Linked DNA regions of Macaca mulatta. The protein of the gene in region 2 purifies or fractionates together with the protein of the main gene of each other region. This does not show direct contact. Links are inferred from orthologs where the notes say so. Each region holds a gene or a part of one and is shown on either strand. Other genes may lie near its edges. The genes, in order: TUBB4B, VCP, SVIP, PPP2R1A, RPL13, UBXN10 and BTRC.

What was found.
Region 1: the proteins of VCP (region 2) and TUBB4B purify together in Homo sapiens (affinity purification with mass spectrometry; 3 studies listed by BioGRID, with this or other methods). This does not show direct contact. The link is inferred for Macaca mulatta from reciprocal best matches to the Homo sapiens genes VCP and TUBB4B.
Region 3: the proteins of VCP (region 2) and SVIP purify together in Homo sapiens (affinity purification with western blotting; 3 studies listed by BioGRID and IntAct, with this or other methods). This does not show direct contact. The link is inferred for Macaca mulatta from reciprocal best matches to the Homo sapiens genes VCP and SVIP.
Region 4: the proteins of VCP (region 2) and PPP2R1A purify together in Homo sapiens (affinity purification with western blotting; 4 studies listed by BioGRID, with this or other methods). This does not show direct contact. The link is inferred for Macaca mulatta from reciprocal best matches to the Homo sapiens genes VCP and PPP2R1A.
Region 5: the proteins of VCP (region 2) and RPL13 purify together in Homo sapiens (affinity purification with mass spectrometry, with the first as the bait; 3 studies listed by BioGRID). This does not show direct contact. The link is inferred for Macaca mulatta from reciprocal best matches to the Homo sapiens genes VCP and RPL13.
Region 6: the proteins of VCP (region 2) and UBXN10 purify together in Homo sapiens (affinity purification with western blotting; 3 studies listed by BioGRID and IntAct, with this or other methods). This does not show direct contact. The link is inferred for Macaca mulatta from reciprocal best matches to the Homo sapiens genes VCP and UBXN10.
Region 7: the proteins of VCP (region 2) and BTRC purify together in Homo sapiens (affinity purification with western blotting; 4 studies listed by BioGRID). This does not show direct contact. The link is inferred for Macaca mulatta from reciprocal best matches to the Homo sapiens genes VCP and BTRC.

The regions. Positions count from the first base shown.
Region 1 is NC_133420.1:5,210,464-5,213,129, reverse strand, and holds the end of TUBB4B (tubulin beta-4B chain), read left to right. Parts: intron 1-107; coding exon 108-216; intron 217-297; coding exon 298-408; intron 409-880; exon of another isoform or gene 881-881; coding exon 882-1,942; 3' UTR 1,943-2,087; downstream 2,088-2,666. Other genes in the region: CIMIP2A (ciliary microtubule inner protein 2A), read right to left, coding at 2,088-2,176, 2,559-2,666. UniProt on the Homo sapiens protein: Tubulin is the major constituent of microtubules, a cylinder consisting of laterally associated linear protofilaments composed of alpha- and beta-tubulin heterodimers.
Region 2 is NC_133420.1:64,669,095-64,672,141, reverse strand, and holds the end of VCP (transitional endoplasmic reticulum ATPase), read right to left. Parts: coding exon 3,044-3,047; exon of another isoform or gene 2,987-3,043; intron 2,856-2,986; exon of another isoform or gene 2,771-2,855; coding exon 2,615-2,770; exon of another isoform or gene 2,537-2,614; intron 1,494-2,536; exon of another isoform or gene 1,471-1,493; coding exon 1,316-1,470; intron 1,161-1,315; coding exon 1,055-1,160; 3' UTR 501-1,054; downstream 1-500. UniProt on the Homo sapiens protein: Necessary for the fragmentation of Golgi stacks during mitosis and for their reassembly after mitosis. Involved in the formation of the transitional endoplasmic reticulum (tER).
Region 3 is NC_133419.1:42,569,304-42,573,390, reverse strand, and holds the start of SVIP (small VCP/p97-interacting protein), read right to left. Parts: upstream 2,801-4,087; 5' UTR 2,706-2,800; coding exon 2,652-2,705; intron 814-2,651; coding exon 763-813; intron 267-762; coding exon 153-266; intron 1-152. UniProt on the Homo sapiens protein: Negative regulator of the ER-associated degradation pathway (ERAD) of misfolded proteins. It competes with AMFR/gp78 for binding VCP/p97, and inhibits AMFR/gp78-VCP/p97 complex formation that is required for degradation of ERAD substrates.
Region 4 is NC_133424.1:64,406,338-64,409,837, forward strand, and holds part of PPP2R1A (serine/threonine-protein phosphatase 2A 65 kDa regulatory subunit A alpha isoform), read left to right. Parts: exon of another isoform or gene 1-677; intron 678-821; coding exon 822-1,054; intron 1,055-1,685; exon of another isoform or gene 1,686-1,701; intron 1,702-2,549; coding exon 2,550-2,697; intron 2,698-2,819; coding exon 2,820-2,975; intron 2,976-3,500. UniProt on the Homo sapiens protein: The PR65 subunit of protein phosphatase 2A serves as a scaffolding molecule to coordinate the assembly of the catalytic subunit and a variable regulatory B subunit.
Region 5 is NC_133425.1:85,005,366-85,009,609, forward strand, and holds RPL13 (large ribosomal subunit protein eL13), read left to right. Parts: upstream 1-1,444; 5' UTR 1,445-1,476; intron 1,477-1,701; 5' UTR 1,702-1,721; coding exon 1,722-1,825; intron 1,826-1,987; coding exon 1,988-2,129; intron 2,130-2,193; exon of another isoform or gene 2,194-2,277; intron 2,278-2,336; coding exon 2,337-2,510; intron 2,511-3,442; coding exon 3,443-3,499; intron 3,500-3,973; coding exon 3,974-4,132; 3' UTR 4,133-4,167; downstream 4,168-4,244. UniProt on the Homo sapiens protein: Component of the ribosome, a large ribonucleoprotein complex responsible for the synthesis of proteins in the cell.
Region 6 is NC_133406.1:220,784,109-220,788,134, forward strand, and holds the start of UBXN10 (UBX domain-containing protein 10), read right to left. Parts: upstream 2,801-4,026; 5' UTR 2,779-2,800; exon of another isoform or gene 2,412-2,778; intron 1-2,411. UniProt on the Homo sapiens protein: VCP/p97-binding protein required for ciliogenesis. Acts as a tethering factor that facilitates recruitment of VCP/p97 to the intraflagellar transport complex B (IFT-B) in cilia.
Region 7 is NC_133414.1:113,601,823-113,605,322, forward strand, and holds part of BTRC (F-box/WD repeat-containing protein 1A), read left to right. Parts: intron 1-2,040; coding exon 2,041-2,137; intron 2,138-3,083; coding exon 3,084-3,221; intron 3,222-3,500. UniProt on the Homo sapiens protein: Substrate recognition component of a SCF (SKP1-CUL1-F-box protein) E3 ubiquitin-protein ligase complex which mediates the ubiquitination and subsequent proteasomal degradation of target proteins. Recognizes and binds to phosphorylated target proteins.

The DNA.
Region 1 (2,666 bases), about 59 Mb from region 2:
CGGGGAGGGCCGGGCTGCCGCACCCGTCCGGGGCGGGGCTGCCTCCCTGCGCACCGGCCGCGGTGACTCAGCCCCGACCCGCCCGGGCCCGCCCGCGTCCCTTGTAGTTCTGGGAGGTGATCAGCGATGAGCACGGCATCGACCCCACGGGCACCTACCACGGGGACAGCGACCTGCAGCTGGAGCGCATCAACGTGTACTACAACGAGGCCACCGGTGAGGCCCCGGCCCTTTCCCCGACCGCCCTCCGGGGACCCCGCGGCCCCTGCCCTGGCTGATGCCCTCCCGTCCCCGCAGGCGGCAAGTACGTGCCCCGCGCCGTGCTCGTGGATCTGGAGCCCGGCACCATGGACTCCGTGCGCTCGGGGCCCTTCGGGCAGATCTTCCGGCCGGACAACTTCGTCTTCGGTGAGCTGCGGCTGGGGGCTGGGCGGCGGCTCAAAGGTCAAGGGGCTGCTCCAAGGGCACCTCCGTGGGAACTGCGCAGCCCGGGCCCCTGGACGCTCTTCTTTGAACCACTCAATCCCCTCTCCTAAATCGGCTTTGAGAGCAAGGTCCAGCTGTCTGCCGAGGCGAGGAGTCGCCACACACGTAATCTCCCTGCAGGGAGCTGAGCTGGGGGCAGTGGCTGTTGCTCTGTCCTTGGGAATTGGCAGTGGCCCCCCCCTCTCCGGGGAGGGGTTTGTTAAGCTCTCAGGTTTGGCTCTTGACTTAATCTGTAGCAGGGCAGGCTGCCGTCCTTTCACTTTGAGGGGTCTGTTTGGTCTACCTGCAGGGTGAATTCTGGGGTCAGCTCACACCATGTCACGAGGTCCTTTTCGCATGGTGGTGGTGACCAGTAGTGCTGTCTAGTTGGCTGATAAATGACTGTTTTCTCACAGGTCAGAGTGGTGCTGGGAACAACTGGGCCAAGGGGCACTACACAGAAGGCGCGGAGCTGGTGGACTCGGTGCTGGATGTTGTGAGGAAGGAGGCTGAGAGCTGTGACTGCCTGCAGGGATTCCAGCTGACCCACTCCCTGGGTGGGGGGACGGGGTCTGGGATGGGTACCCTCCTCATCAGCAAGATCCGGGAGGAGTACCCAGACAGGATCATGAACACGTTCAGTGTGGTGCCTTCGCCCAAGGTGTCAGACACAGTGGTGGAGCCCTACAACGCCACCCTCTCAGTCCACCAGCTCGTAGAAAACACAGACGAGACCTACTGCATTGATAACGAAGCTCTCTACGACATTTGCTTCAGAACCCTAAAGTTGACCACGCCCACCTATGGTGACCTGAACCACCTGGTGTCTGCTACCATGAGTGGGGTCACCACCTGCCTGCGCTTCCCGGGCCAGCTCAATGCTGACCTGCGGAAGCTGGCTGTGAACATGGTCCCATTCCCCCGCCTGCACTTCTTCATGCCCGGCTTTGCCCCGCTGACCAGCCGGGGCAGCCAGCAGTACCGGGCCCTGACCGTGCCCGAGCTCACCCAGCAGATGTTTGATGCCAAGAACATGATGGCTGCTTGTGACCCCCGCCATGGCCGCTACCTGACGGTTGCTGCCGTGTTCAGGGGCCGCATGTCCATGAAGGAGGTGGACGAGCAAATGCTTAATGTCCAAAACAAAAACAGCAGCTATTTTGTTGAGTGGATCCCCAACAATGTGAAAACAGCTGTCTGTGACATCCCGCCCCGGGGGCTAAAAATGTCCGCCACCTTCATCGGCAACAGCACGGCCATCCAGGAGCTGTTCAAGCGCATCTCCGAGCAGTTCACGGCCATGTTCCGGCGCAAGGCCTTCCTGCACTGGTACACGGGCGAGGGCATGGACGAGATGGAGTTCACCGAGGCTGAGAGCAACATGAACGACCTGGTGTCTGAGTACCAGCAGTACCAGGACGCCACGGCCGAGGAGGAGGGCGAGTTCGAGGAGGAGGCTGAGGAGGAGGTGGCCTAGAGCCTTCAGTCACCGGGGAAAGCAGAGAGGCAGTGCGAACTCTTTATTCCCTCCCAGCCTGTCCTGTGGCCTGTCCCGCTGTGTGTGCACTTCTGTTTTCCCTGTCCTCATCCCATGCTGTACAGACACCACCATTAAAGCATTTTCATAGTGTGCGGTTTCGCCTCGCCCATTCCTTCCAGTAGGCCCTCCGGGTGCTATTGCCGAATGTCAGTGCGTAGTTGTCCTGCATGGCTGCGGGGAGCCAGGCTGTAGGTGAGCTGGGCTTATGTACCCAGGGACCAGCATGGGCTGGACACCCAGGCTTCAGAGAAGTGTGCAGCTGCCCTGGGCCCTGGGGATCTGCTTGGTGGGGAACCTGCTTCTTGAAGGCAGGCCTGACCTGTTCTGGGTACCCAACCTTGGGGCCCATTGGCCTGTGTCTGGGACTTTAGCCCCCTTCCGAAAGGGGTAGGGAGGATGGCAGACAATCCTACCCCAACCAAGGTGGGACCCTGGTTGGTAACGGTGGTCAGACAGGTGGTCCTGAACCAGCAATGAAGGGTGGGCAGGTACAGCTGCCCCTCCCCACGTTGGCCAGGGTGTGTCCGTGTGACCCTTCCCGCCCTGTACTCACAGGGGATGAACCCCATGTAGAAGGGGATCAGGCCTTGGCTGCTGTAGATGTGGTTGCTGGGCCAGTGTGTTCCAGGCAGCTTCTCACCCAGGTCACAGTGGGGGTTTC
Region 2 (3,047 bases):
ATATTAACAAAAAGCTTTTTTTTTTTAAATCAAACAAAGTACATAAAATAAAGGTGGGCACAACGCTAAGTGATCACCAACCAGGGGATGTTTGGGATTTTTAGATGCATTAAAAGGGAGTATAGAGAATATCCACCTGCAAATAAGATTGTATTTTTTTGCAACCCTATGATTTTCAAATGGCTCCTAAACACAGTCTTTGGTCAGGATAAGGGATTCTGCAGGCCTAGCCTTACCGTTCACATCAAATATAGGTGGAGGGATGCCATATTCTCCACATTTGGAGCTCTGTCAGGCTGCTCCCTTTCCACCAGTCCTATCCAGTGATACTGCACACACAGGGTGAGGCAACAGGAGACATCATACTGATGTTGATCAGGAAAGGAAGAAGGTGCAATCTTACTTCCAGGATTTCACATTTGGAAGAATGCCTTGGGAGTGGTGGGTAGCCCAAAGCTCTTCCCAGGAAAAGAAGCAGGCACAGGGCCCAGGACTCAGGCTCCATTTTGACCCAACGTTTATTGTCCTTTTACAACATGTCATTTTTTGGTTTAGAAACTGCTTGTGATTAGTTTTCCAACATTAACTCAAAAGCATGTAAAATAAATCAACCTACTCTCTATATAAACACCCAGCAACTGTGGCCCCTACCCACCTACCCAGGTTGGATAGGGGGAAGGGAGGGCTCGGGCAGCATTGAGTCAAGTGCAGATGCTTTACTGTGGCAGGTGGCAGTAGTGCCTTGGTTCACACCCCACACAGGTCCCCTGCACTGCCCCAAACTACAACAGAAATGGCATAGGCCCAAGGCCCAATTCCCTGTTGGTAATTCACTCTCCACCTACCAAATGAAAATCGCTTTTATTTTTTCGCTTTTGTTTTGTATTTTTGCAACAGAAACCCCCTGTCCAGAGTCAGACTGTAGCTGAACTGTTCAGACTGAAGAATGGAGCAGGCTGTGGGCGCACCCCTGGTCCCTCTCCTGGGCAAGCGCCCCCACCCCCAGGGAACAAGGTCCGGGCAGGCCAGCTCACTGCATGCTGGCCACCACCACTTAGCCATACAGGTCATCGTCATTGTCTTCTGTGTATACACTGCCACCTGTGCCGCCTCCACTGCCCTGACTGGGGCCAGCTCCACCCTGGTTCCCTGAAGGGAATCTGTGTACGAGAGCAAAGCCAAAAAAGACGGTTAGGACAGAGCCTGTGTAAGATTTCCACAACTACCCCTCTAGCTTCCTTAGGACTCCCATTCCCTTTTTGGTGTAGGTTCCCAAAGTAACTTAAGCACTGTCTAAGGCTCCCAACCAAGTTACCTGAAGCTGCCAAAGCCCCGACTCTGCTGAAGGGTCTGGGCGAACATCTCGTACTTCCGAATGTCATTGTCACTGACAGAACGGCGCGCAAAGCGCATGGCTTCTTCAAAGTGATCTCGACGGATCTCAGGCACTGGATCATCCTCTTCTACCTCCTATAGTTGGTAAACACAGATCACTAGGGCTTAATACTTTAAAATGCCAATAGTTTTCAGTGTTTACCACATTTGGATTACATCCTACCCAGTGGTCTCACTTTCAGTGACATATATACTCTAAAATATACTCAGGGTTTCCCAATGATTGCAATCCTACTACTAGAGCACATTATTTGGGCTGCTTATTCCCTTTATTCAAATTATACTCTCTTCACAGCCCAGCTCAAAACCTATCTCTTCCATTGAGAGGCCAATTGCTGTGACTTATGAGACTGCTTCCTAGGATTAGTTCATAAGTAGTTTTAAGCTTTTATGGGAGAGAGAAGGTCACAGACCCTTCAAAACAGAAAGAAAGCCATTTATTTGCTCATTCATTAAGTCCCATGTTTGGAACTTAATGAATTAATTAAGGGTAACACAGGACATAGTGGAAAACAAGTGAGATGACAGAGATCCTACCTTTATGGAGCTTACACACACATGAATTTGTCTTTTCATTTTGGGAGGACTGTGGACCCCATCCCTTCCCCAACCATCAGGGACAGGTATATGGGTCTCATCTCAGTTCAAAACCTTGCTCTGCAGCTCACGCCTGTAATCCCAGGACTTTGAAAGCCCAAGGCGGGCGGATCACAAGGTCAGAAGATCGAGACCATCCTGGCTAACACGGTGAAACCCCGTCTCTACTAAAAAAAAATACAAAAAACTAGCCGGGCGTGGTGGCATGCACCTGTAGTCCCAGCTACTCGGGAGGCTGAGGCAGGAGAATGGCTTGCACCTGGGAGGCGGAGGTTGCAGTGAGCCGAGATCGCGCCACTGCACTTCGGTCTGGGCAACAGAGCAAGACTTCGTCTCAAAAAAAACAAAAACAAGAACAAAAACCTTGCTCTGTTTGGTGCACTCTCATACTTTGATTTCCCTCATGGAGCTTGGTTTAGACTGAGAATGGAGCCTGCCCATCTCTTCTCGGCCTTATTCCAAATTGAATGGATTCACCTCAGTATTCTTTATCTTTGATGCCCTATTAACATTCTTCTCAGATGATCTTTTCAACAACTTCTACTCTCAACTCTAGGGCATGGTGGTGGCTGCTGCCTGGCTCCCCATGACTGGCACATCTGGGGAAAGGATACAGACTCACCATGGCTGATGGGTTTGTCTGCCTCTCTCGTTCTCGCCTAATCTCACTTTCGATGGATTCACGGATGGCCAGCTTGCAAGCACGCTGGCAAATCTCTGTAAGGTCAGCTCCAGAGAAGCCATTAGTCATTTTAGCCAGGAACTCCAAGTCCACATCCTAAAAGAAGCAGCAGAGCTACCTTAGCATTTAGCCTCTTCTCTCTTGAGATACACAGATCTTTGGGCCATCCAAGCACTCCCAACTAGTTTGCCCCTTCTTTGGCCACCCCATTTTATTCCTGATTCTAGATTATCTTAATACCCTCAAAAATTCTACCTTCCCTTTAGACCAACCCTAACCCCAAAGCAATCTTGTCCAGAACCCAAAGAGCACTCTATACCAGACTGAGGACTCATACAAGTCTCCCACAGCCCATGATCCTGCACCTGCCTTG
Region 3 (4,087 bases), on a different chromosome or scaffold from region 2:
ATCGATATAACTTCCAATATTTACTACTCATGATTTTACACTATTTCAAAATTTTCTGATAATACATTTCAGGAGAAAATTATTGAATGGATTGCTACTTAAGTTTTTTAAAATGCCAGTTAAGTTAAGCACAAGAAAATTTTAATACTTACCCTAAGTCCCCCTTCTGGTGGGGGCCCAGATGTAGCAATTTGTTTTTCTATTTTTTCCTTTTTCTTTCTCTTTTCTTGCACAGATTGAACATCCAAAATTCCCCGAGATGCAGCCTTGAAGAAATTTGGTAAGAAATACAGAAAGACAACAAAAATCTGTCCAGTGTGCAAAACATATTTTTGTCTATCTTTGCTTTCTAGGTTTTTCTTTGGGGGTAGGGAGTTGGTTTATTTTTGGTAACAAAGGAGTATTTCTACAACAGCCTTACATAAAACATCATTTCTTCACTGGGTATTTTGTAACTGTACAAATTTTCCCCTAAACTTGCTTCACATCTGTATTTTACAATGCACAGCCATTTTAAAAGGAAGGATGTTACTAAAAGAGTATCTGAATTTAGAGAAGATATGATAGTTTTCATATATTAAATAATATAAATATATTAATGCAACTCATACAAACAAGGAAATCATTTTGAAAATAATTACCTTTAAAGGTAAATTTTTGGGATATCAAAGGCCATTTGCGTTAGAGAATTTAACTATGGACATCTATGAAGAATAAAGTACAAAATTATCTAAGTAGGCAAAACTTGATCTTTAATCTTACCTCTTTTTGTCTTCTCTCTGCAGCCTCTGCAAGCTTTGCTCTTTTCTCTTCCTAAGGAAATGCGTAAAAATATGTATTAAATAACAAACATTATTGTGAATAAATTATAAACATTTATTTCATAGGTACTATAACAGTTCACAAAAATATTCAGTACTGGCCCTAAATGTCCCACAAAGAATGCCGCTACTCAACTTTCTGAATTTTATTCTCCTAATCAATACACCTTCAAATCAGCACATGCTAAAACAGATACAAGGTTTGCCTATATAATCATTTCTTTACTCTTTTTTTTTTTTTTTTTTTTTTAAATCAAAAGGCCTACAAGCTAGTCAGGGCAATAATAAAACAAATAATGTTTACAAATACAAGAAGGAAAATACATGGTTTGATACTGCTAGTTAAAATGGAGTCTGAAGTAACCCTGTGTTTTTAGCAAAAGTTAATGCATAAGTGGGCTAATCTCAGTGTGCAGGAGAGACGGATTGGAGTAATTTCATGACAGGTATTGTTCCATATCAGAAAACAGTGAATGTTATTTTTCTAGACCATGTACTACTTATTAAAACCCTTTTTCTAGGTGCTGGGATACAGCAGTGTAAAAACATAGATAAATGTCACCTCCCAAATGAAACAAATTTCAATTGCGGGCACACAGACAAATATAACAAAGTAAGTAAATGCCTCTCAGATGGTATGGCAGATAAGTAATGGGAGAATGGGTAGGTGGTATTGTGGGGAATATATTTTGTTTAACGTGGTCAGTAAAAGCTTCACTAATAAAGTGACATCCAAGCAGCGAGCCGTGTGGTTATCATGAGGGTATCAAGAGGGTATAGCATGAGGATGGGGGAGGGCTTAACCAATCTGACATGTTATATTTTATCAACAGCCAGAACAACAAAATCAACATAATTTAAAACAACAGCAACAACAAAGAGAAGCTGAACTTTCCCACATCAAATTTATAAGTACTAAATTTTTAGTATCTATAATAGCTGAAGAGTTAATGTACTTTCCTAAATACTTCATTTTCTTCAACTAATGTTTAGTTAGAGAAGAGAAACAGGTTTATGTTAACTCCCTGTAAGGAGTACTAACGTAAAGATATTGTTAACAGAAAGCTACAAAAAGTGTACATGTTATTGTACCACACACCCACTAGTTACATTTGAATTTCAGATAAGCAATGAGTAATGTTTTTGTAGAACTAGATCCCTAATATTGCACAGCACAAAACTATATTATAAATGTATTACTTGTATATCTCAAATTCAAATGTAACTGGGTGTCCAGCATTTTTGTCAAATACGACAACATTACAAATTGGACACTCTGTACTACATATTCTTTTAAAGGGAGAACGTAAAATAATCAGATAAATACTAAAAAGAAATCATTAAAATAACATATCCGATAAAGCTCAGGCGTATAAGCGACTTTCTGAGCACCTTCTGTTAAAAGATGGTAGACACAGTTGAAAATGCACTTCTCCTAGACGACTAAAGAGCTCCCGGTGAAAGCAATGTCTTTTTGCGCCGAATTCCATCTACCGCATCCCCTAGAATGTCCCACGCGCAACGCCCTCTGCGTGCGCCGGCGCCCTACGAATTCCCGGTGCAGCCCAACTCAGTGGAAGGTAAAAGACGCCACAGCCGCCTTTGGACAATTTTTTGTTACAAAAGTGGAGATCTACACGGAGGCAGCGGCCTAGGTCGCTCTGACAGGACCCAGCGACCCTCCTGACCCGTCCACCCGTCCTCGCCAGCAGGGTCCCCCTCGCGGGCTCTCGACCTGCGCCCCTAGGTCCAACGGCCCGGCCCGCCCCGCAGCCCGAGGACAGGTGCTCAAGGCGCAGCCCGGCGGACGCAGGGACCTGTTTTACTCACCAGGTCCGGCGTGGGAGGCGCGGACTCCCCGGGACAAGGAAAACACAGCCCCATAGGGACAACAACTGGGGAACCCTGACCGGGCTCCCCCCAGGCCAGGAGGCGCTAACTGCGCGGTCGGAAGCGCGTCCCTGGTCCTCCGCGCTTGCCCCGCCCCCACCACCGTCCACTGGCTCGGCTCCACCCCTGCGACAACGCCCCGCCCCCACTCCGCGGCTCCGCCCCGCCCCCACCCCGCGGCTCCGCCCCGTCTCGCCTCTCTGCGGCAACGCCCTCCTATTCTCGCGACACCGCCCCCCTCTTCTCGCGACACCGCCCCCCTCTTCTCGCGACACCAACCAGTCCCCACAGCTCAGCTGCGTCCCCATAAGGCATTGCCCCTTCCTCACCCACGGCTCCGCGTAGCCCCGCCACGAGAGCGCAGGGCTTGTGGCCAAAGCCTAGGTTCCAGGAAGCACCTGCTGTGGGTAGCAACGCAGGGAAGGGATGGAAAAGCTTCGCTACGGTTCCAAAGCTCTTCCTGCTAGCCTTGCCTTACCATTTACAAATGAGTAAGTGGCACAACTCTGGGTAGTTCATGCTACCTTTTTTATGAGATGGGACTCTGGTATCCTAGAAATTAAAGCCCAAATTCCAAGTCAACATCAGTACCCTTTGCTCCCTTAGTGACAATGCTGTACCAGAACAGAGGGCAGAATATAAAATCCATTATTATGACGATGAATCTAGCGTCATAAATGTGGCATTAGTTGAGATTTCCACTAGTTTCTGGTATTTAGGAGTCACTTATCACTCCGAGAGAAATAATAAAGTTTCATCTATTGAGAAATATTTTAATAACATTCTTCTCAAATTTTAATAAGTATGAGAATCACCTGGGCAACTAGTTAAAATTTACATGCTGATTTAGTGAGTATAAGGTGGGACCTGAGATTCAGTTCCAGTAAACCCACAGGTGATACTGAAGTTACTGACCTCGTCCCCACACAAATGCTTTTATTTTATTTTATTTTATTTTTGCATTCTATTAGTTATTTCTGCTTATTGGAAAATTTTGAAACATTACAAAAAGGTAGGATGTATAGTGACAGCATCTCAAAACCATTGTCAACTTTTTGATACATATTCTTACTGGTTAATTTTTTATAGATATATAATTTACATATAATATTATGCACTTATTTTGATTGTAGAGTTCACTTGGTTTTAACAAACATGTGATCACCACATTCAAGATATGTAAGTTTTCCATCATCCAAAAATCTATTATACTCAATCCCATTCAATACTCTATCCTATACCTAGATCCAGGAAACTATTAATTTGTTTAATACCACTTTAGTCTTTAAGTTTTGCATAAATAATATCACTATAGTCTTTAAGTTTTACATAAATGAAATATACGATATGTTTTGCAAAAGCCATAATGTTTTTTA
Region 4 (3,500 bases), on a different chromosome or scaffold from region 2:
ATTTCAAACCAGAGACCTCTGTACCTTTATTTGAACATATTGGGATAAGTTGAGTCTCCCTTCAGTAGGTCGCTAATTAAGAGTTCCTGTCTTGTGCTAAGAGTGCTGCTGGGCTCTGGGGATACAGTGGAGAGCCAGTCATATATATCTGAAGGAGCACAGTCATTCTAAGCCCACAGTAACAACCAGCGAGCCGTCCCGAGCCCCATAGTCCCCCAGAAACATGAGATCCCAATTCAGTCACCAGAGTTGTATGAGACAGCACAACTGTACCTGTTCATGGGAAACTCAGGTCAGGTTTTCGATCCTGACCTGTAGCTATTATTAGCTTGGGCAAGCCAGTCCGTACCTCAGTTTTCTCTTCTTTAAAATCAGGACTTGCTTTATAGAATTCAGTGAGGAAAAACAAGCACCCCTGGTACAACACGGTGGTCCTGCCTAGTACACACAGTGAACTGATGTTCTACGCAGTGTCAGTGATGATCATTGCACTTTGAGAGGCTAAGAACTTTCTCCTCAGAAAGTGATGTGTGTAATTTTCAGATTCATGGACCCCAGTGAAACTTCTTCAAGGACCCCTAAGTAAGAACCTTTGTGGAAGGCACGCTGACAGAGACCTTCTGCTGGCTGGCATAATATTACGTTTTTCCTTTGAATCATTCACTGCAACCATTTTAAAATGCTCTTTTAATGAAGGCTGGGATGGGTAATAGGGAAGGTTTCTCTGAGGAGATGAGCCCATGAGGGGGTTGCAGGATGGGGGTCCAGGGCCAGGGATGGTAGAGAGGGAGCTGTCCAGTGACTTCATATTCTCACGACAGCCACCCCTGGAGTCGCTGGCCACAGTGGAGGAGACAGTGGTGCGGGACAAGGCAGTGGAGTCCTTACGGGCCATCTCACACGAGCACTCGCCCTCTGACCTGGAGGCACACTTTGTGCCGCTGGTGAAGCGGCTGGCGGGCGGCGACTGGTTCACCTCCCGCACCTCGGCCTGCGGCCTCTTCTCCGTCTGCTACCCCCGAGTGTCCAGTGCTGTCAAGGCGGAACTTCGACAGTGAGTCTCTGCCCCCCTTGGAAGCTCCAAGCTCCCCCCTCAGCTCGGTCCCCTTCTCTAAAGCCTCAGCCTCCTTTCGGTCTGCCTAGGGCCCACACGCCCCTGAACTCTCTCCAGTCCCACTCCTGCTTACCACGTGGTAGGCCACATCCTTGAGAGTTGGTCTCTGGACACAGCCGCGTGTCAATTTACCACCTCTGCCCCCTTGCTCACTTAGGAATTGAGATGATGACAGGTCCTCCTTCCCACTGGTTAATGTGAGGATTTAAAAGAATTATCACATATAGGCCGGATGCAATGGTTCACGCCTGTAATCCCAGCACTTTGGGAGGCCAAGGCGGGTGGATCGTGAGGTCAGAAGTTCGAGACCAGCCTGACCAAGATGGTGAAACCCTGTCTCTACTAAACATACAAAAATTAGCCGGGCATGGTGGCGCACTCCTGTAGTCCCAGCTACTTGGGAGGCTAAGGCAGGAGAGTCGCTTGAACACAGGAGGCAGAGTTTGCGGTGAGCCGAGATCATGCCGTTGCACTCCAACCTGGGCGACACCAGTGAAACTCCGTCTAACAAAAAAAGGAATTATCACATATAAAGTGCTTAGAGCAAAATCTGGAACATAAAAACTTTCAGCACATCACATCTGATGGTGTCTCCAGCCTGTCCCAGGTCCGGTGCCTTTGGCAGGTAAACCACTTCAGTTTTCAGCCTCCTGCTCCTCTACTTTGCAAACAGTTGACCATCATGCCCAGGTTTGAGCCGTGGCTCACTCCAGAACTCTGATTTACGGCTGCACAGATGCTTAGATACTTACACTGGCCCTGACCATCTTTGACCGAAGCAATTGCTGCTGTAAAATAAAGCCTTTCTGTGGCTCTAGACTAGCCTCTTAGTTAAGCAGTTTTTTGTTTGTTTTTGAGATAGGATCTTGCTCTGTCATCCAGGCTGAAGTGCACTGATAGAATCATAGCCCACTGCAGCCTCAACCTCTTGGGCTCAAGCATTCCTCCTGCCTTAGCCTCTCAAATAGCTGGGACCACAGGTGTGCACCACCACGCTGGGCTCATTTTTTATTTTTGTTAGAGATGGGGTCTCACTATGTTGCTCAGGCGGGTCTTGAACTCCTGGGCTCAAGCAATCCTCCTGCCTTGGTCTTCCAGAGTGTTCAGATTACAGGTATGAGCCACTGTACCAGGCCCCTTGGTTAAGCAATTTTTATGGTCATGATAATGTAATTGTCAGCACTTACCATTGACTGGATTTATTATGTGCAGTCTGCGAAGTGTCCCACACACATTATTTCATTGAAACCTCATGCAGACCTGTGGGGTAGTTACTGTTACTATCAGCGCCTTTTCATAGGGCTGGGAAGACAGACGGAGTCATCACTTGCCCAAGGTCATTCAGCTAAATCCTGGACCCACACAACTGCAGTCTGTGCTTGCTCCTCTCTGCCGTACTGCCTGCTGCCTCATGATCCCCATCCCCGACTCCCAGGTACTTCCGGAACCTGTGCTCAGATGACACCCCCATGGTGCGGCGGGCCGCAGCCTCCAAGCTGGGGGAGTTTGCCAAGGTGCTGGAGCTGGACAACGTCAAGAGTGAGATCATCCCCATGTTCTCCAACCTGGCCTCTGACGAGCAGGTGAGTTTTGCTCCCTGGACCTCTCTGCTCTCACCTCCTTCTGCTGGTCCCTGCCCGTGAAAGAGAATCTCAGAGTTCAGCAAGGCCTCTGCTGCCCTCCTGCATTCCTCTCCTCTCCCCAGGACTCGGTGCGGCTGCTGGCGGTGGAGGCGTGCGTGAACATTGCTCAGCTCCTACCCCAGGAGGATCTGGAGGCCCTGGTGATGCCCACTCTGCGCCAGGCCGCTGAAGACAAGTCCTGGCGCGTCCGCTACATGGTGGCCGACAAGTTCACAGAGGTAGGTGAGCGACCGTTGACACTGTCCCACTGGTGGGGGACACTGACACCCTCAGAAGGGAAGCATATAGAAGCTGAGGTTTACCATTAGGCCGACGGAATCATTGGGCGTTTGAGCAATAAGATCTCTGTGATCGTCTAACTTCATCTCACTTTATATGCCAATCCTGGTTGATTGACATGGCATCTTGAAGTGCTGCCTTGAGAAGGATTCTGAGGCTAAGTTAAGGCTTCACGGAGGAAAGTGCCACAGGAGCAGAGAAGGGTAGCACATGTGGGGTGCTCCTGACATAATCAAGCTGTCCTTTCACAAAGGGGAAGACGCAGCCCAAAAAGGTGCAGTTTTTTGTTTGTTTGTTTGTTTTTTTGTTTTGAGACGGGGTCTCATTCTGTCCTCCAGGCTAGAGTGCTGTTGCCCAGCTGGAGTGTGGTGGTGCAATCTTGGCTCACTGCAACCTCTCCCTCCCGGGTTCAGGCAATTCTCCTGCCTCAGCCTCCTGAGGGACTGGGATTACAGATGCCCACC
Region 5 (4,244 bases), on a different chromosome or scaffold from region 2:
TTTTGACAGAGTCTTGCTCTGTTTCCCAGGCTGGAGTACAGTGGCGCGATTTCGGCTCACTGCAAGCTCTGCCTCCCCGGTTCACACCATTCTCCTGCCTCAGCCTCCCAAGTAGCTGGGACTACAGGCGCCGCCACCACGCCCGGCTCATTTTTTGTATTTTTAGTAGAGACGGGGTTTCACCGTGTTTGCCAGGATGGTCTCGATCTCCCGACCTCGTGATCCGCCCGCCTCGGCCTCCCAAACTGCTGGGATTACAGGTGTGAGCCATCGCGCCCGGCCGGGACTGTGAAATTCTTAAAATGTGGACTAAGTTTTACCAGGAGGAAGGCTGGTGATTGGGTGAGGGTAGGGAAGAAAGAGGGTTATTAAGATTTAAAGGTTTCCAGGTAGCAGTAAGATGGATGGTGCCTTCACAGACTTGCACTAGAGAGTAAGAGCTGGCTTTTTGTTGATGCTTTTCTTTGTGAAGGGAGGCAGTAGGCACAGCAGGTCAGAATGTGACATTTTCAGTTGGGTACCCCTGACCTTAGAGAAGTCACCTAATCCTGGGCCAAGGGAAAGCGGGGACAGAGGCCAACAGTAACTGCTCCTTACGGAGTTGTGTGGATTCGATGTGAAAATGCACATCCGGAACTGAACTCCCTGCTTACAAAAACACTCAAGAAATGTTAATTTTATCTTTTAAAAAACCAGCATAGGCCGGGCGCGGTGGCTCACGCCTGTAATCCCAACACTTTGGGAGGCCGAGGCGGGCGGATTGCCTGAGCTCAGGAGTTCGAAACCAGCTTGGGCAACACGGTGAAACCCCGTCTCTACTACTAAACTAAAATACAAAAAATTAACCTGGTGTGGTGGCGGGCGCCTGTAATCCCAGCTACTCGGGAGGCAGAGTTTGCAGTGAGCCGAGATCACGCCATTGCACTCCAGCCTGGGCGACGGAGTGAGGCTCTTGTCTCAATATAAAAAAGTTCTAAATGGATGGGAGGAGAATAAACGCTGGAACAAGGAGGACGACGGCCTTAGGTTGCGCAGACTCGGATCTCATTGCAGTTTTCCTGCCTTTGCGCTACAAACGTGTCCCACAAACGCGAACAAACTTAAGAATTGCCGGGGCGTCGCCCGTTCGCCGTCCGCCCAGATGCTGGCCGCGCGCGCGTTAGTCCGCAAGGCGGGACTCGGCCTGAGCCCACCGCGGCCCGCGCAGCGGCTGAAGCGCCGGGGCAGTAACGGCGGACGTCAAGCAAGTCCGGCCGCGGGGTCCGCAGGGCCCGGGCATCACGGCCCCGCCGCCGCACTCTGAGCGACGCCATGTCTGCGAGGGCGGCCCTGAGAGCGCGCGGTGACGTCAGTTCCTCCTTTCCGGGCTCTGATTGGTCAGAGCGCCCGGCGCTTCTGGTTGGCCGGCCCTGCTATCATCCCAGGGTGCATTGCGGCGCCGTTTCCTTTCCGCTCGGTTGTCTTCCTGCGCAGGAGGTGAGCTAGACTCGGTCCCGGCCTTTGGGCTTCATCCGGCGCCATCGGCCTGGCGTTGCTGCCAGCGCGGGCATGGATGGGCCCCTTCTTTTTCGCAGACAGCGTTGGGCCGGGGCCCGGGCTCTAGGCGCGGCCGGACGGCCCAGGCTGGAGGGTTCAGGGCGGAGGTCCGGGGGGTGCGCGCGCCCGGGGCGCGGCCTCTCACTCGCTCCCTCGCGTTCGCAGCCGCAGGGCCGTAGGCAGCCATGGCGCCCAGCCGGAATGGCATGATCTTGAAGCCCCACTTCCACAAGGACTGGCAGCGGCGCGTGGCCACGTGGTTCAACCAGCCGGCCCGGAAGATCCGCAGGTGAGCCCTGCGCTCGGGGCGCCCCTGGGGCTCGCGCCCGCGGCTGCGCCTTGGTTTGGGGGTGGCCGGTGCCAGGGCGGGGGGCGCTGTCTGCGGCCGCCGCGGAGCACTCGCCTGGCGGCCTTAGGCGAGGGTGACCGCCGCTGGGCTTCTCTCCACCAGACGCAAGGCCCGGCAAGCCAAGGCGCGCCGCATCGCCCCGCGCCCCGCGTCGGGCCCCATCCGGCCCATCGTGCGCTGCCCCACGGTTCGGTACCACACGAAGGTGCGCGCCGGCCGCGGCTTCAGCCTGGAGGAGCTCAGGGTGAGTAGTGGCAGCGCCGCGGTGTCGGGAGGGCCCTGAGTCCCCTGTGCTGGCCTCAGTCGCGTGATGACATTCTCCGGAATCGCTGGACGGCCTTGATGAAAGCACGTTTGAACCCTTTTCCATCTGATCGCTGGGCCTCTCCATCCGGGCCTCGCGGCGGCGAAGGCCCGGGCCCGCCTCCATCTCTCTCCGCTTCTGGGGCAGGTGGCCGGCGTTCACAAGAAGGTGGCGCGGACCATCGGCATTTCTGTGGATCCGAGGAGGCGGAACAAGTCCACGGAGTCCCTGCAGGCCAACGTGCAGCGGCTGAAGGAGTACCGCTCCAAACTCATCCTCTTCCCCAGGAAGCCCTCGGCCCCCAAGAAGGGAGACAGTTCTGTGAGTACAGGGCTCTCCGGCCGTCCTGGCGCGCGGGGAAAGTGAGGCCGGGTTCCTTTATCGGCGACACCCGTCCCTGGGCCCTGCTGGGGTGAGAAGAACCAAAACCTCGTGGCCGTTGTGATCCGCAGGATACGCCTGTCTTGCAGGATGACGAGCTAATCGGGACTACTAAGGTTCACCTGTGGTTTTCAGCAGGGATGACCTTAGTGGTCACGGCAAAGGCTGTGTGACTTGGAGCCAGCTTTTTCCGTTGAAATCATTGTCTCCCTAAAATGCTTCGTGTTCTGGCCTGGCGCGGTGGCTCAAGCCTGTAATCCCAGCACTTTGGGAGGCCGAGACGGGCGGATCACGAGGTCAGGAGATCGAGACCATCCTGGCTAGCACGGTGAAACCCCATCTCTACTAAAAAATACAAAAAACTAGCCGGGCGAGGTGGCGGGCACCTGGAGTCCCAGCTACTCGGGAGGCTGAGGCAGGAGAATGGCGTGAACCCGGGAGGCGGAGCTTGCAGTGAGCTGAGATCGCGCCACTGCACTCCAGCCTGGGCAGCAGAGCCAGACTCCGTCTCAAAAAAAAAAAAAAAAAATGCTTCGTGTTCCAAAATATTCTAGAAAAACCTTGTAGGGTAAGGTTGATAAAAGTCCATTGTATACGTTTCCTGGTAGTTGAATTAGGGAACGATTTTCTCTGCCCCGTCCCTGGTTCACAGGTAGATATAACTGTCTCATGCGTGTTGTGTCAACTCAGTAAGATAGCCACCTAACTAGTAATGACTGTTCTCAACACTGGGGACACAAAGTATGTTGGAGGAAAGGCTCAGACACTGGTGCTGAACTCGGGATCCCCAGGGGGAAGTTTGGGGCCAGGCGGGGGTGGAGTCCTTGGGGCAGCGCGGCTAAAGGCACTTAACTCTTCTCGTTCATCAACAGGCTGAAGAACTGAAACTGGCCACCCAGCTGACGGGACCGGTCATGCCCATCCGGAATGTAAGTTAACACTTGCTCAAATCCAGCTTTAGACGAGATCAGTGGGTGATCACATGGATATCTGAGATGGGGATCAGGCCTAAGAAAGTTAATGGTGGCAGTTGTGCTGCGTGTGGAGGTTTGTGGAAAAGAATATTTCTTAGTTTTTACTTCTTGCAACCACGAAGCCGTAAATTGGGAAGTTTTTTTGGAAAGAGAGTTTCTCTATGTTGCTTACACTGGTTTTGAATTTTGGGATTTACAGACCTAAGCTGCCGTGTGTAGCTCAGGCAGGGAGGGTTTTTCTTTTCTTTTCTTTTTTTTTTTTTTTTTTTTTTTAAATCACAGGGAAGGTGACTGACTCAAGAGTCGCTTTTCCGCAGTTGGGCAGCACACCTGCCCTTACATCCCCCGAAGTCCTCTGGGTTCTGATGATGCCTATTGTGCCTTTGCCCATTGACACACTGGGTTCAACAACTTGTGTTTCTCTTCTAGGTCTATAAGAAGGAGAAAGCTCGAGTCATTACTGAGGAGGAGAAGAATTTCAAAGCCTTCGCTAGTCTCCGCATGGCCCGTGCCAACGCCCGGCTCTTCGGCATACGGGCAAAAAGAGCCAAGGAAGCCGCAGAACAGGATGTTGAAAAGAAAAAATAAAGCCCTCCTGGGGACTTGTAATCAGTCAGCAGTCACGCTGGGTCTCCCCGTGGTGTATTTCGTGGGAGCTGCTGGGCCTGGGATGGGGTTTCGCTGCTGTGACTTCTTACAG
Region 6 (4,026 bases), on a different chromosome or scaffold from region 2:
TAAGGCGGGAAGCACCAGGCTTAGTGCATGGTAGAAACTTAATTAAACGTTAAGGGATTTTGTTGTTGTTGTTGTTTGCTTTGGGTTGTCTGTTTAGTGCTTTCTGTCTGCTAAATTCAAAAGCCTTCCTTGTTTTGCTCTAGAACTTTTCCCCTGTGTCCTTGGTGATTCTACTCCTAGTCAACCAGCTGGGTGAGTCCTGAAACTCATGCCTGCCCTGTCCACTGCACAGAAACACAGGGAGGTGGATTGCAATGAGCTACCACCTATTCAGTTGCCTCAAAAACATGTGAAAAAAAAATCCTGAGTTGATCACTTCTCTTCTAATTCTACATTTTACTTACCTCAAATTCACTTCCCGTAGAATGATTACTTCCTGCAAATTCATTCCTTTCATCACAAAATCTTCAATGTAATCTGAGCCTCTCAGGGTATGTATTCTAACCTTACCATTCCGTGCATGTAACCACTGCTGCCTAATTTTAGGGAGTATCTGCTTCCTCTCCACTCAAACCAGGACCAAACAAAACACAGCATCCCTGTATCTTCCTGATGTCCTGCTCAATTCAAAATCTGGGACAAAGCTACCCTCTTTTAAAGGCCTCTATGTCGGCTGCATTCTACTCACAGCCTGAGTCTCTCTCCACTCCCCATTTTCCACTTCTCCCTCGTCTTTCACACCCAGTCTGGCTGCTAGTAGCTCAGGAGCCTTCTCCTTAGCAAAGTTTTGGCATCAAAAAAGACTGCCCATCTCCTTGTTAATTTCATCTATTTTCTGATCAACTGTGAAGAATGTGTTTTTCCCCCTTTAGTCTCATTCTCAAGTCTTTCTCTGGCAATTAGCAGCTCTGCACTTTCACTCAGGATGGCAGGAGAAGGTCATAACTGTCCAACTGTTCTGCCAAAGATAAGCTCCACAGGCAAACCCACGCCCCTCTCGGCCCACCCTCCCCACTTGTGGAATGGCTATTAATTTGCCACAGCTTCTACAGAATTATCACAGGCTTGGCTTCCAACACCCACACATGCCTCAGGAAGGTTTAGCTGTCAGTGAGTTTGGTAACTTAGAAACCTCTTCCTTAACAACTTTGATGAGGAGAGTCATGTGTTCTCACAGGCTCTCTGAGGGATTATTTTTAACAGTAAAACTTGAGTATGTGCATGCACTTTCTATACCTTTTGGTTCTATATAATTATCCATGTTCAGGGGGTGTCATATTCAAGACACCCTGGTCATAAGATAACATGACTGTGAGCTATCTCAGAGAAAAACCTCAATTATGACTAATTCCTAGGAGCCCACTCATGGTTATTTAGAGACTAACACCTCCTTCAGGTAAAACCATTATATCCAACCTGCTTTCATAACCCACTGCCTCCTCCCGAGCACAGGGACCATCTGTTACACGGAGGGAACACCAGCTCTCCCCAGCAGCCATCACATAGGGATGGGGCGGTTGGGGAAACAGGTGTCTGGGGATCTGGGCCAACTGTGCCTTTATATTCACACGTCGGGTCCTGAACTCTGCCCGCCGCCCTCAGTCCAGGAAGGCTCCTAGCAGCAGCCATCATTATCCCTGCTCAGTTCATTTCACCACCTCTAGGCCTGGCAGCCGCTCAACCACAAACTGATTTGACAAGATCTAGGCGTAGGCATCTACCAAGCTGCCAAGCTGAATAGGCGAGTGGCCTGTTTACTTAAACACAATAGCTGCGCCCCAGAGGCCTGCTAGGAGTCAGGAAGCAAACACTGCCAACTGTTTCCAAGAAGTTGCCAGAAGGGCAGGTGCCCATTCCTTAAGATTCATCAGCAAATCAACTGGAAAGAAGGAAATGTGGATGGGGGAAGCTAAAGCAGGGCTCCTGCTTTCTAAGGGTGCCCACCACCCACCACAGGGTCAGACCACCCTATTTCACTCACAACCCAAATCTAAGCCTACAGTATATGCAGTAAAATATAACCACCTACATACCATCTGCTGGTATATACCAAGATACATACATTTGAATTGGTCTTTTAAAACTGTATCAGTTAATCCTATCCGTTGCCACTCCCCACCCCCAACCCACACCCCCACCAGGCTTTCAGGATAAAAATGCTCTGAAGAACCAACAGGAGATGGTGGTTGGCCTGAGAATGAAAAAACTCTGGTACCATTCCCAGTTCTACCCCAAACTAGTGATTAGAATACACTGTCCTATGCAGAGTGCCACACTGAACCACAAGCCACCAAGTGATCAAATGTTTGGAAAGAGAATTAGGGATGATTCCAGAGACAGAAGGGCAAGGAAGTGGTGGGGATAACTCAATTATGTCCAAGTTCCAGCGCCCTAGAAGGCAACAGGCTTAAGGGGTGGAGGAGGGATCTGGGGGAGGGGCGAGAAAGAGCGTTTAGAAAGTGAGAACTGACTTCAGTGAAAGAGCACAGGACTGGGGGAGGGTCCATCTGGTTCCGGTCTCTGCCCTGCCGGAGACTGGGACGTCCTTTTCTCTCCCTGGGTCTGTGTCCCCATCGCTACATCCCAGCCTGGAGGGCATGGCCCAGCGGTTGCATAGGTCCCTTTGGTAAAGGTGAGCTCTGGCCAGGCTTGCTTTGCCTCGGGAGCAGACTTTTCTCCAGGTTCCTCGCCTGTCTCCCGGGGTTCGCGTCCCTGGGGCTGGGGCTGGGGAGGCCCTCAAGGGTGACGTGCTGGGGGCTCGGGGACTGGCTTCTCCCGGCCCCTTCCAGGCCCGGCGGAGGCCAAGGGCAGGCCGCCGGGTCTGGCAGCCGCGCTCACCTAGCCGTTCCGCTCCATCCGCCGCCTGCGCCCAGCTCTGTCCCGCTGGTAAACAGCCCTGGTCTCCCGGGCAACGCCGCGGGGTGGGGGGCCACGTGCTTCCGCCGTGACCGGAACCGGCCTGGGTCGGGTGGGGTCCAGTTGGGTCTGGTCGGGTCGGGTCAGGTGGGGTCGGTGGGGGCCGCTGGGCCAGGAGGGCGGAGGCCATGAGCTCCAGGTCGGTGGATTGCCAGCCGTATTGCCTGGCCTGGAGGCGACAGGGACCTGCGGCCTCCTTCTCTCCTCCTCTTCCTAGCGTCACCTGCCTCTGTTTCTCGCTGGGGAGAGTGTCTGGGAGAAGGAGAGCCCTAGCCGGGGCGTGGAGGCGCGGGGAGCAGCACCACTAGTCTCAAACCCCGTTTCTCACTTTGGGTCAGGTCCTGAGCCTCTCAGTGTCCCTGGTTTTAAAATGAGGCTGTGGGACTGATGGATTCTCGGAACCCTAGACTCTGAGTGGATGCTTCTAGGGTATCTGAGTTGCGGGGAGCAGGGTCCCCATCCTCAGTACAGCCCTTTCAGTGCCAGATCCCTGACCTCCTCATTTTCACATCAGCCTCCCACCCCGGGCCACACTGGGAACCTTATCAACAGCATCTGCACCTCCTTTGATGTCCCCAGCCACAATCTCTTCCACTTCCAGCCGCTTGAGTCACTTCTGCTGTATCTGTTTTTCACCATCTTTGGGCTACCTGTCCATTGCTGTCTCTGCTTTCCCCCTTGCTATCAACCTGCTTCTTCCCTATCCTGGCCCATCCCTCAGCCTTCTCAAAAGGATCCTCCCTCCCCGAGTCCTGCTCTCCTTCCATCTGATGAAACCCCAAGCCAAATCAGTCCGCCTACACATGGGTACTGAAGAAGTCTTGGCCAGCCACACACCTTGGTGTAACAAACACGAGGTCTCTAACCTCAATTAGACCATCAGCCCTGCACTTCCATCCCCGACCAACCATTGGGTTCTCTCTCCCTCCTTTCTTCTTTCTTCCATTTTTTTTTTTTTTTTTGAAGGGGAGACAGGGTCTTGCCCCTTCACCCAGGCTGGAGTGCGGTGGTGCAATCACAGCTCACTGCAGCCTGGACCTCCCCAGCTCAGCCTGCCTTGTAGCTGGGACTACAGGCGTGCATCACCATGCCTGGCTAATTTTTATTATATTTTGTAGAATAGGGTTCTGCCATGCTGCTGAGGTTGGTCTCGAAGTCTTGGGCTCAAGT
Region 7 (3,500 bases), on a different chromosome or scaffold from region 2:
ATCATAAAAGGTTTTGACTTAAAACATAAAGACAGAAGCCCGTTTTCAATACCTAGCCATCCCTTTCTGTAGCACTTTGATCTGAAGAAATTCAGGTACTTTACCAAGACATGGTAAATGCAGTGAGGTGGAAAACAAGATCAGAAGCTTATATGGGTTCTCTTTCCTTAGAATGTAGAGATAGTATCATTGCATAGGAAGAAAGTCTTGGAGTGCTAGAGATTAAAAGAAGACAGGAATCTCAGAAATGGTGGGCATTGAGAAACAAGTAGTTAAGAATGTGGGTGGGCTGAGAAATCAGGCTTAAAATCTTCACATTCAAAATCTACTATTTGCCTGCAAAGTGTTTGTAGAATAATATTGTACAGAGAAATGTACCATTAATCCGGAATTCTTTCATAACACATCTTGTTTCCCCTTTTGTTTATGCTGGTGTATCATGTTTCATTAATCCCCCTCTTTATAAGTATTATTTTCACTTCTCTTTTTCAGATTTTCTTTTCTGTATTAACACAGAAGTTAGAGCCAGCTACCTTCCTGGACAGGAAATTTTCTCAAATAATTTTCAAGGTGTATAATAGGGAGAGGGAAGGGGAGAAGCACTCCTGGAGACAACAAACAATTAATTATATTGTAATGGAGCTATAGAGGGAGGAGTGGATGACTGGCCCAGAGAAAACATGATTTCTCTGGTGCCAGGATTACACTCAGAGGCATTTCTGCCTGTCTCCACTTTGCAAGGCACGGTGCCAGTGAGAACAGCAGTTAGTACACCCATAGTGGGGTTTACTAGCTTCCACACCGTGTTTGGTGGGTTCTTAACTTCAGGATGAGGAATTAAATTTTTTACCCAGCAGGAAGTGATTGCCATTTACTGATTTTTTTTTTGTAGCAAAGATCTAGCTTGGGATATGAGTATTCCAGAGATGTGCTGTCATAAGGAAGGAGATACTAACAAATGTTGCTCACTGGAAACAGGGAAGGCAGTTAAGTACATGTATGTATATACACAGCCAGGAACACACCTGTGAAAGTCAGTTTCATGCCTTAGACTTGATAGCACAATGCTCTTAGGCGTTTCTTTTTTTCTTCTTCCCTAGCTGCTGCTGGACAAACCTGTGATCCTTTTGTTTTCTGTTGAAATGAACTGAATTGTTCCTTTCAAAGCATAGTTGCACTGATTAGCAGCAGCCTGGGTGACTGAGCAGCCACCTTACCCACACAGATAAAGACCTAGAAAAAGTGATCTCCATGCCAGAGGCATTGCTGCTGTTTACAATGCTGGGGACCACTACACAGTAAAAGAAAAAAAAAAATTATAGGGCATGTGCTAGTTCAAAGGTAATACTTACCATTACTAACAAAATTTCCAAAAGATGAGGTCAGTGAATCTAAGCAGTAGTCTTAATAGACCAATAGATGAATTCTGATTATACATATTCCATTTGTTTACTGATATTATAATATTTCCAAAGGCTTGGTACTCTGACGTTCTACACTGGAAATAATCATGTTTTACCCAAAAGCAAATCAGTGTTGATCAGACTCCTTAGAGCCCAGAAGGTTGCTCTTTGACATGGGACTCCTGAAATCAGGCTTACGTTTGCTCCTCCCTAGGCAGCTATGGAGAGTATATGGAATGGTAACTGTGAAAACATTTTGAAAATATATGAAGCTCCTTATAAATATATAATGTCGGCCAGGTGTGATGTTTCACGCCTGTAATCGCAGCACTTTGGGAGGCCGAGCAGGAAGGTCATTTGAGGCCAGGAGTTTGAGACCAGCCTGACCAACATGGTGAAACCCCATCTCTACTAAAATACAAAAATTAGCCAGCGTGGTGGCAGATGCCTGTAATCGCAGCTGCTCAGGAGGCTGAGGCAGGAGAATCGCTTGAACCCAGGAGGAGGAGGTTGCAGTGAGCCAACTCACGCCGCTGCACTCCAGCCTGGGCAACAGAGCAAGACTGTCTCAAAATATATATGTATATAAATGTATAATGTCATGATTTTCATTGGGAAATATTTGTTATTTTTTTAGGGGACAGTATTTATTCAAAAACAAACCTCCTGACGGGAATGCTCCTCCCAACTCTTTTTATAGAGCACTTTATCCTAAAATTATACAAGACATTGAGGTAAGAATCTATGTATTTTGGGGTATTTGCCCAGTGGCACAGAATTATCAGCATTCTTCAGTCACAATATGGTTACAGCAAGCCCATTAAGGTTTATTGACATGAGTTGCAAGTCAATCTCTTAGCTGGCTGTGGTGGCTCACGCCTGTAATCCCAGCACTTTTGGAGGCTGAGGTCAGGAGTTTGAGACCAGCCTGGCTAACATGGTGAGACCCCTTTCTCTACTAAAAATATAAAAATTAGCCAGGCATGGTGGCACACGCCTGTAATTCCAGCTACTCAGGAGCCTGAGGTAGGAGAATTGCTTGAACCTGGGAGGCACGTGTTGCAGTGAGCCGAGATCGTGCCACTGCACTCCAGCCTGAACGACAGAGTGAGACTCCATCAAAAAAAAAAAAAAAAGAAAAAGAAAAGAAAATCAGTCTCTTTACAGGCAAGTAGGGTAGGTAAAATAAATTGCTAGGCAAAATTTTAAAGCTTTAAAAAATTGTTTACTAATACATAGATGAGAGAGATAAAGAGATTGATCCCTTCATACAATAGCAGTGTGAATGGTAAACTTGTCCTCAAATATCTTCTGAATTGAACCTCCATAGAAGTTCATCAGTAGCAATGGCCATCACATATGTAAGAGCACTGAGTGTATAACCTCACATAGTTTGTAGCTTTTCTCCTCTTGATGAGTAGTCTCTTCCCACTAGATTTATTATTTAATTGAACAAATTATAGGCAGGGGAGTTCTAGGAAACAAACTTTAATTACTTTGCAAAAGGGAAAATATTTTATAAATGTAGATAGTAGCCTTTTAAAGACATTTTTAAGTTTTCCCTAAGTTGTGTATATCCCATAGAGTAAAGCATCGAGCCTTTGATTGTCATTAAAGCCCAAAAAGAGTTTGATTCTAGGCGTTTCCTAACACTGCCATTTTCCCATTCCTTCTTCTCAGACAATAGAATCTAACTGGAGATGTGGAAGACATAGTTTACAGAGAATTCACTGCCGAAGTGAAACAAGCAAAGGAGTTTACTGTTTACAGTATGATGATCAGAAAATAGTAAGCGGCCTTCGAGACAACACAATCAAGGTGAGGTCTGTTCAGTTGTAGGAAGGTAGCGGAGGGAGCGAGGCTGACTACATTCTTAGCACAGTCCAAAGCATAAACTCTAAGCATTATTTCTAGAAAGTAAGTGAAGATTTTAGATTGTTTCCAGTTCCAAAGCCAAAATCATTTCCTTAAAGGACAGACATCTGCTTCCCCCCAGAATATTATACAAATGGGTAGTCCTAGGGTTAAATTCTCTTCTTGAAATGCACTGAATGGGCTATTACTCTTTTGGCCCTCACATAATTATAAACTACCTTG